Linked DNA regions of Kluyveromyces lactis. The protein of the gene in region 1 interacts with the protein of each later gene in a biochemical or structural test. Links are inferred from orthologs where the notes say so. Each region holds a gene or a part of one and is shown in the gene's direction. Other genes may lie near its edges.

Region 1 (5,275 bases):
TTTCAAACCTGAATTCCAGCTAATTCCAGATGACTGCTCTGTATTTTGTTATCAAGAGGAGGAATTGGAGTATATTCTTTTCTTTGTGAGGATAGCACGCATTTTTCAAGAAGTTACCATGCTCCTTCAAGATGATACCACAAATTCATTATGCAATGGAATTAAATATTACATGACTATCCGCCAATATTACAAGTCTTGCGAAGAGTTAAAAAACGGTTCGGATGATATTTTGCATGTAGCCAATGTTGGGATTAAGAAAACTCATTTACCATCAAATACTATAAAGGAACAAGTTTTCTCTGCGGTCATGGCCTCGTACCCCAAATTTGAAAAATACATGGACTTTGCGTTCAAAGAACCAGGATATTGGGTGGCACATATCTCACAACCTCACCGTAAGACTGACCTATTGAACAGGTCCTTTGAGCAATCGTTCAAAGAGGATGTCATTGAATCAGCAACAAGTTATGTTGTCAGTTACTGCAAACGATTTACTGAAACTTCCGATATTCGCTCGCACAATAAACCAACTGAACCATTGAATATCAATCGTGTTAAGAAGCCAAAATTATTAAAAAACCTATCTGCATATCTGGATAGAAACATTTCAGAATTCCATTTTGCGCCTAAGGATGAGTGGCAGATATACTTGGGGGAACCATTGGAGAAAGAGAAGGATTTTTTGAGCTATTGGCTTGAAAACCAATCAAGATTTCCTGCATTGTGCAGTCTGGCTCTTGCCTTTTACCACACTAAGCTCTCAACTGCTGACGTCGAAAGGAGCTTCTCAATCAGTAAGCGTGTTTTAGATGATAGATTTTCTCTTGCTAGTTCCAATTTAAAAAGCACAATGATAGTAAGGAATCGCTTGATGTGTTTCAATTTGGGCTCAAAGATGCCTGTGACTGAACATATTGCAACGGACTCTTGGACGGATGACGAGGACGATATGGAGCATTCAAATTTTAGCCAACAATCATTCTACGATCCTGCCGCAGTCATCGATATTTACTCCAGTGACAGTAGTGATTGAAACTAATACATAGATAGCAGAATTTTGGAATCACCAGTTTATAATGAGGAAAATACGATATTAACGTTATTCCTAATTATAAAAGAGTAATTGGGGAAGATTAAAGATGTAATATATACATCTTGGTTCGTATATAATAGCCACTTATCGAGTGGTGATGTACTTTAATGTAGTGTCATAGCATATTGACGTAGTGAAGAATGGATTCGTGAATTGTCTGAATCCTCTCGTAAAACGTGACAGGATTGGTGACTGAAAATGGTCAATTCGCCGGACTCGTCCCAGTACGGTCTCCTACATAAGGTATCAGTCATCATCAACGATTTCTACGCCGTTTACATTTTGATGATAAAATTGAAAACTTGTCATATACGGAACATCAACAATAAAAGAAGGATCAATGCGTAATTGTAGGGCGGATAGAATTGGGTTTTGTGAGACTCCAGAAACGTCACACTAGTATAAGAATTGCAAGTTTTCTAACAAGTTAGTCAACTTCTCAATTAGAAGCAACTATTCTCAGAGTAAACAAGATATCCCTCTGTTGAACGCAAACTCTTAGTGAAGCATTTACGAGTACATACTCATCAGAGAAGATATGTCGCACGACCCAAATCAACAACAGCCGCATGGTGGCTCAGGTCAAGGCCATCACCAACGCCAGCTGACTAACCACGCACAAGGCCAACATATCGGTAAGTATCAAATCATCAAGACCTTGGGTGAAGGATCATTTGGTAAAGTGAAACTGGCGTACCATATCTCTACGGGACAAAAAGTGGCATTAAAAATCATCAATAAGAAGGTTCTAGCCAAGAGTGATATGCAAGGTAGAATCGAGAGAGAGATTTCGTACTTACGTTTGTTGAGACATCCACACATTATCAAATTGTATGACGTGATCAAATCGAAGGACGAAATTATCATGGTGATTGAGTATGCTGGTAATGAATTATTTGATTATATTGTCCAAAGAGACAAGATGCCTGAACAAGAAGCAAGAAGATTTTTCCAACAGATTATTAGCGCAGTAGATTATTGTCACCGTCATAAAATTGTGCATAGAGATTTGAAACCAGAGAATTTACTATTAGACGAACATTTGAACGTTAAGATTGCTGATTTTGGTTTATCTAATATAATGACAGATGGTAACTTTTTGAAGACTTCATGTGGTTCTCCAAATTATGCGGCCCCAGAAGTCATCAGCGGTAAACTATATGCAGGTCCAGAGGTTGACGTTTGGTCTTCAGGGGTTATCTTATACGTCATGTTGTGTCGTAGGTTACCATTCGATGACGAAAGTATCCCAGTGTTGTTTAAGAACATTAGCAATGGTGTTTACACCATACCTAACTTCCTTTCCCAAGGTGCTGCGAGCTTAATCAAAAAGATGCTCATCGTCAATCCAGTTAATAGAATTACCGTGCATGAAATCATGCAGGATGAATGGTTCAAAGTTGATTTACCCGACTACCTAGTTCCTGCTGAAAGCACCCATCAAGAAAACTCTGAAAGCAAAACAGAAGATGGCGGCCCATCCGTGCCACTCGAACTGATCGATGATTCGTTAGTTCAAACGCTATCAAACACTATGGGTTATGACGTAGATGAGATATATGAGGCTTTAGAGTCCGATGAAGATCATCCATCTTTAAATGAAATCAGGGATGCCTATCAGTTAATTAAAGAGAACAGAAATTTAATCAACGACATCAAGGTGAACAAGCAACAATCTAATGACTTGGATACTTTCTTATCGCAATCTCCACCCACTTTCGAACAATCCTTGCATGCCCCCCCGGGCTCAAAAAATCGACACTCACACCGCCATTCAAAGAGAACACAGCAACGTACATATCAATATCATTATGGAAATGGTTCTCAGGATGGAGACAGCACGATTGCAATTTTACCTAGCTCGTTACCACAGATCCATAGAGCCAACATGGTAGCACAAGGGTCCCAGGCTGCTGCTAAGATTTCACCATTAAGCGTGAAAAAATCAAAAACAAGGTGGCATTTCGGTATACGATCAAGATCCTATCCATTAGACGTTATGGGAGAAATATACATTGCATTGAAAAACTTGGGAGCCGAATGGGCGAAACCATCAGAAGAGGACCTATGGACTATTAGAGTCCGTTGGAGATATAATATCGATATGCCTGATGACGAAATGAAGAACAAGCAGATTCCAGATTTAATGAAGATGGTAATCCAATTGTTCCAAATTGAGACAAATAACTACTTAGTGGATTTCAAATTTGATGGCTGGGAGTCCAGTAACGGTGTAGTGTATTCAAGTCGGAACGACGATGAAATGAGTACGTTCAGTGCATACCCCTTTCTACATTTAGCAACCAGGCTGATTATGGAACTTGCAGTGAATAGCCAAGGAAGTTGATTTTAAGGTTCATGAAATTAAAAAAATACTAACGGATAATATCCAACGAAGAGTGTATATAAGTTTGAATATTTGCTTAAAGTTTAAGCCTTATATACATATCATTAAATAATGACAATCACTATATTATATGAGAAATTACTCTTAGCTCACAACACTCGCCGGGAAGAAGAGGAAAACAACATACATGTTTTTGACACATGAAAAAAGAATGCATCGGCCGGGAATCGAACCCGGGGCCCAACGATGGCAACGTTGGATTTTACCACTAAACCACCGATGCTACTTTGTTGTAGTTTTCGTAAGATAGACTGAAGACAGGCCAGACGAAGGGTCATGTGAGCTAGCCAGCACACGGCAGAGTTCCAAGACGTCAGTGACTGGGCATATGGATCCTGTGGTATCCAGAAGGGAAGGCCTAGATGGATCAAAGAGGGTCACGTGACAATATTTAGTGAAATTGGAATAGGCAGAAGCTGCGCATGACGAGTGGCTCATGAGACTATCAGTTACCATGAAAAAGTCCGACGGACAACTGAGTATGAGTTGAGTATTAGGGCTGAGTTAAGTTGCAACCTTTTGAGAGGTTGGATGCAACAAGAAGGAGCAAGACGCATATGCTCAAGGATCTAACTATGTATATTCTTATATCAAATTCAGTACTTGTTTGGTCTCTACGATTCCACAAGAGGTGAGCAATCAATCAGCTATCATCCACGGCACATCACAACATGAGACTATTATACTGTTAAGTATAGTCGGGTCTATCATAATAGTAATATTTGCTATACTAGTGGGCAAAAAAATGGTTCCTAGCGGGATCGAACCGCTGATCCCCGCGTTATTAGCACGGTGCCTTAACCAACTGGGCCAAGGAACCAACTTGGATGTTGAGGAGGAAGATTGTGTTGCCTAAATGTTGAGACGGAACATAAACTATGATCGGGTAACTACCGATGCAATTGGCGGTTAAGTAGCTATACGGTACGTATTAATTGAAGTATCGTTAACTGACCTGAGTTATTATATGAGGAGGCATCAGGTCTGACAAATGACAATCAGCTCAACCGGGCCAGATCTTCAGATGAGCCATATTTCTTAGTACTATATATAGTAGTGTATATTGACCCACCTGATACTGAAGATCTAGAATCGATTTCATGTGACAGGAATAACCCGAAATATCGATAATAACCAACTAAGTGTGTTCAACCGTAGTCCGATGAAACGAGCATTTTTCTAGGGAACTTTTTTCGTGCGAGGTATATATATGCATACCTTTGATGAAATAGGGCAAATGTAACGTTAAGGTATAAGGACTATTCATCAGGTCATTTTTATTGTTTTCAATCCTACAACGGGAGTTTCCAGTGCCAGTATAACAAGCTGCTTATCAGTGTTTGGATATATCGAAGGAGGTTTCATCGTTGTAGGGAAGTTCAAACGAAATCAACGGGTCGATTGAGAATAGTGCCAAGATTTGGGAATAAGATTCAGTTGTCTCAATTGAAAGAATATCATGCCGGAAAATAAGTTTGAAGTGACCGAGGAGTACTTGGATCCTCAAAGTATGCTTGAGCTGTCCATGCCCGGTGGTGCCTCCAAACTCTCTGTTCGTCAAAAGTTGATATTGAAATGCAGAAGGGCCATGAGGATGAGGGATACGGAGAAAAAAGGATCTTCTTCAACTGACCCAGTTCAGAGTCAATACTCACTGTCATTGTCTTCCGCCGAAGATAAGAAGAGAGGGTTTTTTGGCTCCGTACAAGACGTGTTGAGAAAATACATGAGATTTGTTGGACCGGGTTTGATGGTCTCTGTTGCCTATATGG
Region 2 (5,727 bases), on another chromosome or scaffold:
CACCGAAACTGACACGGCCGCTTTTGTTACTCAAGTTGTTGCTGCCGGTGCTGCTGCCTCTCCATCGTCTCAAGCTGTCGCTGCTGAGTACGTCTCTGATGAAGATACCACCACTACTGGTGCTCCATCCACCACATCCACTGCTGAACAAACTACTTTGACCCCAACTCCAACCATCGAGCAAACTGCTACCAGTACCCCAGCTACCACTACTGCAGCTACCAGTTCTTCCAGCTCTGACTCTAACCTTTCGTCCTTCGCGTCTTCAATGTTGGATGAGCACAATGCTAAGAGAGCTCTACATAAGGACACTCCAACTTTGTCCTGGTCCGATGAATTGGCCTCTTACGCTCAAAACTACGCTGATGATTACGACTGTTCAGGTTCATTGACTCATTCTGGTGGTCCATACGGTGAGAATTTGGCCATTGGTTATGGTACCACTGGTGCTGTCGATGCTTGGTACAGCGAAATCAAGGATTACAGTTTCTCCAATCCAGATTATTCCTCTAGCACCGGTCATTTCACCCAAGTTGTTTGGAAATCCACCACCAAGGTCGGTTGTGGTATCAAGCAATGTGGTGGTGTATGGGGCGACTACATCATCTGTTCCTACGATCCAGCTGGTAACATGCTAGGTACTTTTGCCTCAAATGTCGAGCCATTGGCTTAAACCCAATCTCATTTCGGATATTTTTGAAACAAATGTCAAACATTTGTCATGGCTCTTACCCACAATACAAATACCAGTTTTATATTTCAGGACAACGAAACAGTTTTTCAGTTCTCAGACAGGAAGATGGTAGATTATCGTTTGATTATCCCGGTCGTCTGCTGGCGTCACTATCTTATTTTACTCTAGAATTCAGTCCGTATTTTTTAGATACCTTTTGTCGTTTTATGTATACGTTTTTATACCCTATCAGTTTTCTTGCAAATTCCATACAATCCTGGAACACAGAGCTATCGGCAGAGCTTGCAACTTGATAGCTTATAAACAGGGCCATTAATGTTTCTGGTTTTCGAATGGCTTAAGTATCTATAACCCTTGAGGCATAATTTTTCAGATAGATAAACTTCGGAAATAGAGCAACACCTGCCAAATGAATCAGGTTTACTGGCTCATATTGGTGGTACTAATCCACGCAAAAATCTTGTGTCATGCACAGGGTATAACAGTGACAAAATACAACACTGTTCGAATAATAAGAACGAAAACCGTCTCAACGACAACACATTTCACAACTTCAAGAACAATTGTTTACAGAACAGCCTCCGGCACCTTCACGGAACAAGTGTCCACAAAACCAACGGCCACGGACCCGGATTTCAAAACGGAAATCCTGGACGTGCACAACTCATTACGCAAGAAACATCAGGTTTCATCGCTAGTTTGGGCTCCAGAACTTGCATCTAGAGCACAAAATTTCGCCAATTCTTACGTATGCAACGGGCAATTAGAACACTCAAAGCTGCCTTACGGAGAGAACCTTGCTCTAGGATATAATACTACCTCAGCTGTTCTAGCATGGTATAACGAGGTAAAACTGTACGATTTTAACAACCCACAGTTCGCAGCAAATACAGGACATTTCACCCAGCTGGTATGGAAAAATACCTCGAAACTTGGCTGTGCATTTATACGATGTGGCCAGTATTACGGTCAATATACAGTATGCGAATACGACCCACCGGGGAATGTAATCGGAAAGTTCAGTGAAAATGTCTTACCCGAGAAGTAAAATAGAAAACTGTCCGATGACAGAAGACTTGATAAGCGTTGGTTGATTCTTTCCCTTGCAAATCACGAACTCAGGGTAACCAACACTTCTCCTTTCTTTTCACGGGCTTTCACACGATTTGGATCGTTGTTCTTTTCGAAGCTTCGACAATATGAAGAAATAAGAAGTGAAATTCAGTTAGAGAAAAGAAGGTTTAAAATATAAAAATAGTTAAACTTTGAATCATAGATACCGGTTTCAAGCCACCTAGATTAGCCGAATAAGTGAATTGTGGGATCAATTGGTGTACTATAGAATATACTCAACCGTTTTTCTGTATCATAGTCGTGTGTGTTTGCTTTTTCTCTTTTATTTCCTGTGCTTAATACTCAATCACTCACTATATTGAATATTAGTTAAGGGTATTTGTTTGTTTGTTACTGATTTTTTAGTTTTTGATTTACTGCTTTGTTATAACCGGACCTTCCTTTATTTTCAATAATGTCTGAAATCACTCCTGATGTTGCTGAAGATTATTCTCAAATCGTGGTAGATACGCCACCTTCTTCTGCTGATGATTCGTCGAAATTAGCTGGCCAAACAATTGAACAAACTGAAAAGTCTAATGGTGAAGAAGCTGCCACTGCGCCAGCGGTCAAGGTTTTATTTCCAAGATTGGGAGGAAATGCTGCTGCGTCTGCTTCTGGCAATGCTGTCTCCTGGGGGTCTACTCTGAAATCAGGTAGCTCCGTTAACAGTGTCTCTTCTCTTTCCCATGGCAAAAACGGACGTGCTTCTTCACCTGGTTCTGCTAAGCCATTGCGTTCGAGAAACATTCAGGAAGTGTTCTCGCTAGACTTAGATGCACAATACCAAATCACAAAGACCGAATTCTCCAGCATCGTTCAGTCTGTTAAACAAAAGTACGATGTCTCTGTGGAATCCACACTATCAAAGACTTCGCGTACTTTCTTGATCTCTGGTTCTTCTGACAAGATTGGTCTTGCTAAGAGAGAGTTGGTCAAGAAGTTGACTAAACCTGTCAATGTGACTTTTGAAGTTCCTTCAAAAACTAGATCTGCCATTATCGGATCTGGTGGTAAGACCATCAGAGCAATCTCAGATGCTGCTGGTGTAAAAATCGTGGTTCCGAAGGAGGTTGATGAGGGTACCTACGATTCAGATTTGGAAGACTATTCAGTAACCATCTCTTTACACGGCGATGCTGAATCTGTTCTCGTTGCAAAGAGTAAGATCTTGGACGTCGTGAAGGAGGAAACTAAAAACGCCAAGATTGTTCTTCCTGTCGAGGACTCCAAGTTGGTTCCCTTCATCGATCTAGAATCAGTTGAAATTCCAGCTGATGTAAAGGCGCAGCTGTTTACAAACAATGACCCCGCTGAAATCGCATTAAATGGTCCTCGTGATAATGTTAAATTGGCCAAGGTTAAGGTGATCAACTATTTGAACGAATTGGGTCTAAAGATCGTGGTGAAAAAGGAAAAGGTCCCATTCAAATTCCATCCTTTGGTAAAGCCTTCAGAATTGAATGAGAAGTTCCACGTCGAAGTACAAGCTCCAAGTATTTCCGGCGATGATCAATTCGTTTTCATCGGAAGCTCTGACAACGTCAATGAGGCCATCGTGTACGCTAAGAACTCATCTAAATTCCATACCGTGGAATCATTGGAAATTTCAAAAGCTCATGGTAAAAACGTTAAACATGCTAAGAACTTGATTCTATACTTCCAAAAATATAACGTCTTAGATCAAATTACCGAAGACTTCCCACAAGTGCAAGTAGTTTTACCTAAAGTGGAAAGTATTCCAGCATTGGAATCCGTCAGTATTACCTTAATTTCAAACAACGATGCCGCAGACGCTATCAAGACCGTTCGTAAACAAATTGTAGCTTTGGTTAATGAATTATCTCCAGAACAAACGTTAACTATTTCAGATTTGGATTATCATCTATTCCACAAGGACATCAAGCAAATCTTGGTCTCGACTGAAAGTGATGTCCCATTCATTCAATTGGGTGACTGTTTCCCAGGTAATGACGATATCTTACTAATCACCAAGATCAATGAAGATGATTTCAAGCCATCTGATGATGAACTAAAAGTTAAGCTGGAATCGGTCAACCAACAATTGGAACCAATCAGAAAGAAGCAAAGCCTTTTAGCATCCAATGTTGTTTCCCTTGCCAAAAAAGAACAGGATGAACTACTCGGAGAATCAAAAGTCACTTTGAACTTGATCAATGAAGCTGTTTCTCATGCTGGCGCTCATGCTTTAATCAAGTTGAGCACCCCTTCAGTCAACCAAATTACTATCAGAGGTGATGACCATGGATGTAAGATTGCTTCCGCTGCTGTCAAGTCCATCGTCGAGAATTCATCAACAGAATCCAAGATCACATTCCAAGTTCCAACCAATGTAGTTTCGAGATTGATTGGTCCAAAGGGTGCTAACTTACAACAAATTCGTGAAAAGTTTGACGTTCAAACTTTCATCCCACAAGATTCTAAGGATGAGAATACCGATGTTACATTGACCGGTTTGCAATACAATCTTGACCAAGCGAAAACATATATTCTAGCAGAAGCTAAAAAATGGTCCGATATTATCACTAAGGAATTAATCGTCCCTATGAAGTACCACCGTACATTAAGTGGACCTCAAGGCACTTATCGTATCCGTTTGGAGAACAAGTACTCCGTTTTCATCAGATTTCCTAAGGACAGTGAGTTAGTCACCATCAGAGGTCCATCTCGTGGTGTCAAAGCCGCTTATGATGAACTGAAGGCTCTTTTGGACTTCGAAATTGAAAATGGCCATAAAGAGCTTCTCAAAGTTCCAGTCGACTATGTTACTAGAGTCATAGGTAAAAGTGGTGAAACTATCAACGATATTAAGGCAGAGTATGGTGTTGAGTTAAACTTTTTGGACAAAACCGACAGTGAAAAGGCTAAGGAAGCTGGTGAAGTCGAGTTGGAAATCACTGGTTCTAGATCTAGCATCAAAGAAGCTGCAAACAAAGTCAAATCTATCATTGATCAAGCATCAAATTTTGAGACAGTTACTCTGGAAGATATCGACTCTAAGTATTATAGCGATATCATCGGTCGTAGTGGCTCCCAATTGAAAGAAATTATCAGCAAAGCTGGTGGTGATGAGATTAGAAACAAGAGAGTCAATATCCCTGATGCCTCTTCTGAAGACAAGGTTATCACTATCTTCGGACCATCTGACTTTGTGAAGAAGGTTGTCAAACAAATTAAGGGAGTTGTTTCTGGCTTAGAAAACAGCATTACCGAGGAGCTAAATATTCCACAAGAGAAGTTTGGTGCCTTGATTGGTCCAGCTGGATCAGTAAGACGTGAATTGGAGACAGAATTCAAAGTAAGAATTCATGTTCCAAACAAGAACAGCTCAGATGAAAAGGTCACTGTTTCTGGTTCTCCTGCTAATATTGAATCTTGCAAGAAGAAAATCGAAAAAGAAATCATCAGGGATAGTTTCGACTTGGAAATTGCTGTCCCTGCCAAATACCATTCATACGTTTCTAACTCTGGTTTGATTTTCCAAACGTTAAGAAACGAATTTTCTATTGATGTTTCTCATGGTAACTTGACTAGAACCGCACAAAGTTTATCTCGTGCGAACTACAAGGTTCCTGAAAATGTCGCTGGTGGTGAAAATGAAAGCTCCAACGTCCTCATTCAATCTGTCACAGAAACTGAAGCTAAGGTTGACACAATCCCATGGAGATTAACATACTCACCAATTGACTTGAGTGATGTTTTAGGTGAAGACTATAAGAAAGATGAAGAAAGCAAAGATCAAGTCTTAGAAAAAGCGTCCAAATTGATAGAAGACAGAATCGCCGAGGCTAAACTTGTTAACACCGAAGGTTTCGTTTGGTCCAAGGATGCAAAGAAGTTTAACTCTATTGTTGGACCAAACGGTAGAAATATCAGAGAAATCAGAAATGCCACTAAAA
Region 3 (5,586 bases), on another chromosome or scaffold:
TATACACACAATACCACACTTTGCATAGTTTATTCACTCAAGGTCAGTTATCTATATCTATATCTATATATATATATATAAGGTACGATAAAGGTTTCTTGTCCTTGATTGTATCTTCCAAATCCATCTCTAACACTAGTCTGCCATATCAGAATCCAACACTAACACCAACCAATAAACTTCCAACATGAGCAAGCCATCACTGAATACCAGTTTGGTATCCGTTTCCCATAACGATAAATACGGATCAAGCGTGCCTCCACTATACCAATCTACCACTTTTAAAGCCTCTTCTTTCGACCAGTTGCAAGAGTACGACTACACGAGGTCAGGAAACCCAACTAGAACCGTATTGCAACAACAGATCGCTAATCTTTACGATGTGGCACCAGAACAGGTGTTTGCCGTCTCGAGTGGGATGACTGCACTAGATATCATTTTGAGAACTTTGATAGATAATTCAGATCACATCCCAACGATAATCGCTGGTGATGATTTATACGGTGGTACTCAACGTTTATTAACGTTCCTACAGACGAGAAACCATGCTAAAGTGATTCACACAGATACTACGGATGCCGAGTCGTTCATCAAATTGTACAATTCTTTGGGGCAAGTTGATATCGTGCTTTTAGAATCTCCAACCAACCCGTTGATGAAAGTCGCCGATTTACCAAGGCTGTGCCAATTTGTGAAACAAAAAGGTGGTTCAAGTTCCAACTGTAAAATCGTCGTTGATAACACCATGATGTCAGGTTTGAATTCCAACCCTTTGCAATTCGGAGCAGATGTAGTATACGAATCCGGTACGAAATACCTCAATGGACACCACGATATCATGGCTGGTGTAATAATAGCCAAGAAGGACGTGGCTCCATCCGTATATTTCGTCATTAACAGTACCGGTGCCGGTCTATCTCCGATGGATTCATGGCTCTTGATCCGTGGTCTCAAGACCTTATCTGTTCGTCTTTACAAACAACAGATAAACGCAATGGTGCTCTCGCACTGGCTACAAGATATATGCGGATTCAAGCCTACAGATAATAACCAGCAACTAAAGACAAGGTTTGTTGGGTTGGAATCTCACCCTCAGTTCGAATTGCATAAAAGTTTCAACAATGGTCCCGGTGCAGTGCTATCCATTGAGACTGGCGACCTAGCACTAAGCGAAGCCATTGTAACTTCTAAAAGACTAAATATATGGGCCGTCACGGTATCGTTTGGATGTGTCAACTCGTTGATCTCCATGCCATGCAAGATGTCACATGCCTCCATCGATCCAGAACTACGGAAACAAAGAGCGTTCCCTGAAGACTTGATCAGACTCTGTTGTGGGATAGAAGACGTCAAAGATTTACAATATGACTTACTTGCCGCATTCGAGGAAGCAGGCTTGATCGAATTGCAACAGAGAGGTAACGATACATATTTATTGAACAAGAAGAACGGACACATTGCAAGAAACAATATCGGAGAAACATACCAAGAAAACTACAACGTTTACGACCAATTTTTCGGTCAACGTCTCGTATCAAAGACATCTCATCTACACACTGCAAAGTTGTAGAACGGATAACAACCAAATCTACTCTATAATATTCAATACGTAAATCTTCTAACTGATCCATTTCATTTCATCTCATCTCAAACTCATCTCCATTGCCAACCAATAAATAAGGTAGAAAAGAAAAGGAATCAGCGATCACGTGACTTAGTCTTCCTTCTCTGTTACCCGCCCTTTGTCTCTCCTTAGAAAATGAAAGACCCGTAATCTCAAAGGGGGAAAAAGTGATGATTTACCCAGATGACTGCGTAGCCACAGCGACCCTTTGGTAGTAAGCAGCAGCGAGAAAGCTCGGAAAAGTAATACGGAATTTTCATCGGATTATTCAATTTTTGGAAATCAATTTTCACAGAGAGAACAGAACACTGGATTCGATAAAAACAAAAAAATATAATTTCCTTCTTTTTAGAAAGTCACTTCTCCTTGACTCCCATAATTTATCTAGTTCTTTAATCATCCTGTAAAGATCTTGTGATAGCGTAAGGAATTTCAATAACACAACCATTAGCAGGTTTCTGGAGCACTGGGGAGAACTTGTTGACATTCGGTTATACAGTTGTCTTTTTTTTATTTTTTGGTCAAAAATTTTTTTACGGAAGGAGGCCTTTTTTTATTACTACTGTTTCTACTAGTTTTGTTCTAATTCATTATATTTTAGGAGGACGAAAAGACGGTATTTGCTTCATTCTTTTCACACTATATTGTATTCTATTTGGTTTTTCAAAGATTGTGTTTTGAATCGTGAAGAGAAGAGTGTAATTCCATTGTCTGTCTGAGTTATAAAGTATAAGATAACATCCAGGGGTTTTTTTTTTTCTTTTGTCGTTTGAATTTTACTAGATGAGCAGCGTTCATTCTCAGACCAGTGAGGTCGATGTGCCAGCTGCGTGTACTGGAAAACTGAAAAATCAAGCAGAAGTTGGAAATGGGTCTAGAAATGGGTCTGAGACGTCAATAGCATCGATGAAATCGGCGAAGTCGACTATCACTTTTGAGAAGCAGAAAGTCGTTCCTAGGGCCAGAACCATGTCTGTACAGAGTGTTTTGAGTTCGTTCTCACTCCGGAGTATGTTGAACACTAGAGAGCATGGTGGGCCTCAATCGCAGAACTGTGATGAAGAGGAATGTACCAATACGATGCACAATCATAATACCAGTAATAATAATAATAATAGTAATAATAACAGCAGCAGTATTGCAACGACGTTTATCAATCCCACTCAACAGATACAGTCGCCAGCTATGGCTTCTACGATGGTCAAGAAACGCAACGGGGTTGCGGGCAAGAACAAGCAAACTTTCCTGTCGGATTTACCAATGACTGAGTCACGTTCAAGAATTGGCCAACAGTTACCTTTTAACGATGATAAACGGAAATCTGCTAGGGATTTATGTAAACAGAGATCGTCTTCGAATACTAGTTCCAATTCGACCGCGAATTCGAACTCGAATTCGAATTCTAACCTGAATACGGCAAATCCAGACTCTAAGACGAGAAAAGGGTCATCTCGTGGTTCCGAAGATGCTGCCTCAGATACTACTACCAACAACACTAATAGTAACTCTGAAAATGAATCCAGTGGCGACGCATCTCCAATAGATTCGTCTCATGACTCCGAGTCTGAAGAAGATGATATTTCAAAGCAAAACAAGTTGACAACAGATGCGTTGAGGAAACTTTCGTTGCTGCAGCAAAGTAAGGGTGCTGTATGTAAATCAGTACAGACAACGCCGTTGACCTCGAGTGAAAATTTGGTGGATCCAAAAGAACCTCTGACTCAACTTAAGTTTGGTGGAAAAAACGTTATTTTGGATACAACTGCTACCATTCGTAAGAACTCTGTAGCAATGGAGGCATCAGGGGATCAAAACGAAGCTCGTAAGCAATCTTTGGAAATTATTTCGCAACCAACTGGTGTAACTTTACATGGAACGTCTCATAATTTCAACGAAGCTAAGGGCATTTGTTCCAATAGTACAGCCTCATCTAACTCGAAGAGACTCTTACAGCAGATTAACGAACCGAAGAAACCGATGTATGTTCCTGCAGTGTTGAGAGACATTTCTGAGACGAACATAAAGATAGAAGATTTGAAGTCACATTCTCCTACACCATCTGATGTAACACAAACAACTTTACAAGCTGTGCTGTCTAAACATTCGAACACTTCCAATTCAAATTACGCCAGAAGTATTCATTCTACCACATCATCCATTGTGAGCACTTATAGAAACAAAATTCAATCCTGGCTGTGTAATGAAAGGGATCTGCAATTACAATTGATTCAACCCACCAAAGAGCACTGGATTCCAGATTCCAAACGTCATTCTTGTAAATACTGTCACAAAATTTTCACGTTCTGGGAAAGAAAACATCACTGCAGGCATTGCGGTGATATCTTTTGCCAGCAACATGTCAGACACTGGCTATACTTAAACCCTAACGCCAAGTTTATCATTGGTTGTGGAGGGTTAGGCGTGCTATCTAAAATATGTGACAGTTGCTTAGATGAATATGACACTCTGGTTAAGGCTGGACCCGCCAAAGATCAGGCAGAATTGCAACAGCAGCAGCAGCAACCACCTTCTACTTCTACTTCCTCAACTTCTTCATCACATTCTGGTTCGATTCGTGAAAATGAAAATGAAAATAGTGGAAACCATTCTAACACACTACTCAATTTGCCAAAACCCGCAACAGGAAGAAATATAGACGAAGCATTAAATGGTACTGAGGGTAGTGTAAACCAACGGCAGCACTTGGAAAATATTGTAGGAAGTGTTCCTGCTGATTGGTCTTGGAGCAGTTTCTAATTTACGAATGTTGCATCAAATCTTTTGGTTTTCATCACCTCGTTATCCTTATTACTACACTTCCTGATCCATTTTCGCCTATGCTTTTCCCATTTTATTACGTTTATCCAGTTTATTCCCTAACGGAAGATAGAGCCTAAAACCCATTTTTTTCCATTGCAGACACAATATAAGGGGGATTTCTCGTCACCCTGGTTATTTATTGTTTTCGGTATTTTCAGATTTTCCAAATTTTTCTCTTTTCTATTATTATTCGTTATTATTATTGCCATTATCACTGTCACTATCTGTAACATCGCTCGTTTGACTCCTTATATTTTCCATGTTCCGTTTGCCTTTTTTGTTGTCTCTTTTTTTCATTTCATTTATTTCGCTCAGATCATAAACTATATTATATCGTGTCCCGTTCCAGTGTGGAAAATCTATCCCTACCATTATATTATACCATCCTTAACGTTAATCAAACGAAGGAACTGAGTAAAGCGTCTAAAACCATATGGATCCTTTTTTGTTTTCTCTAAATTTCATCACCATGTTACCATTTACAAAACCATTCTTTTTCTCTCCCAAACATAATAAGAATAAGAATGATAAGAGTAATAATAATAGTAGTATTAATTATTAATTTATTTAAATGTTCTAGTTGACCTAGTTCAATATATATATATATATATATTCGTACATATATACTCGAATAAGAAGTAATATCTCACAACTCTTATACTAAAAGTCACAGCGTCTGCATAATTCATGTGTGGTCAACGTCACTCCTTCCATACCTGATTAAACACAAGGGGGTAGTTGACAAACGAGACAAAATGTAAGTTTGGATGAGAAGGTGTCAGAGTTACCAATAACAAAGATTTTCCCTTTTCTGTCGGTCCTATCTTTGTTTATTCTTTTTTGTCATATTGTTATCAATTTCGTGCCACAGATGTAAAGAAAGACAAGATAAAGTCATTGCGAACAAAGAGTGTGTGTTCTGACATGATTATTACTTAGACATTGTTTAAATGGGATTAATTCGTATGAGTCACGTCTTTTATGTCCTGTTGCTACCAGTTCGGAAGATAATGTTTTGAATCAAGTATTGGAAGAAGTTCCGTTGTTCTTATCTATGGTGCATCCAATTCACTATACCTGACTAGTAATAATTCATTATTTTCGGGTAACCTTACTAAACATTTAATAACCTTAAAACTAAA

The links.
Region 2: the proteins of SNF1 (region 1) and SCP160 form a complex in vitro, tested with the Saccharomyces cerevisiae proteins (2 studies listed by BioGRID, with this or other methods). The link is inferred for Kluyveromyces lactis from reciprocal best matches to the Saccharomyces cerevisiae genes SNF1 and SCP160.
Region 3: of the proteins of SNF1 (region 1) and PIB2, one has a biochemical effect on the other in vitro, tested with the Saccharomyces cerevisiae proteins (2 studies listed by BioGRID). The link is inferred for Kluyveromyces lactis from reciprocal best matches to the Saccharomyces cerevisiae genes SNF1 and PIB2.

The regions. Positions count from the first base shown.
Region 1 is NC_006037.1:336,975-342,249, reverse strand, and holds SNF1 (AMP-activated serine/threonine-protein kinase catalytic subunit SNF1), read left to right. Parts: upstream 1-1,634; coding exon 1,635-3,443; downstream 3,444-5,275. Other genes in the region: divalent metal ion transporter SMF1, read left to right, coding at 4,963-5,275. UniProt on the Saccharomyces cerevisiae protein: Serine/threonine protein kinase essential for release from glucose repression.
Region 2 is NC_006040.1:202,559-208,285, reverse strand, and holds the start of SCP160 (Scp160p), read left to right. Parts: upstream 1-2,222; coding exon 2,223-5,727. Other genes in the region: KLLA0_D02442g (CAP domain-containing protein), read left to right, coding at 1-673; KLLA0_D02420g (CAP domain-containing protein), read left to right, coding at 1,104-1,742. UniProt on the Saccharomyces cerevisiae protein: Involved in the control of mitotic chromosome transmission. Required during cell division for faithful partitioning of the ER-nuclear envelope membranes which, in S.cerevisiae, enclose the duplicated chromosomes.
Region 3 is NC_006039.1:1,483,790-1,489,375, reverse strand, and holds PIB2 (Pib2p), read left to right. Parts: upstream 1-2,407; coding exon 2,408-4,381; downstream 4,382-5,586. Other genes in the region: cystathionine beta-lyase STR3, read left to right, coding at 188-1,570. UniProt on the Saccharomyces cerevisiae protein: Functions as an intracellular glutamine sensor that directly activates the TORC1 signaling pathway, to promote cell growth when glutamine is available. May play a role in repressing NPR1 activity independently of TORC1 signaling.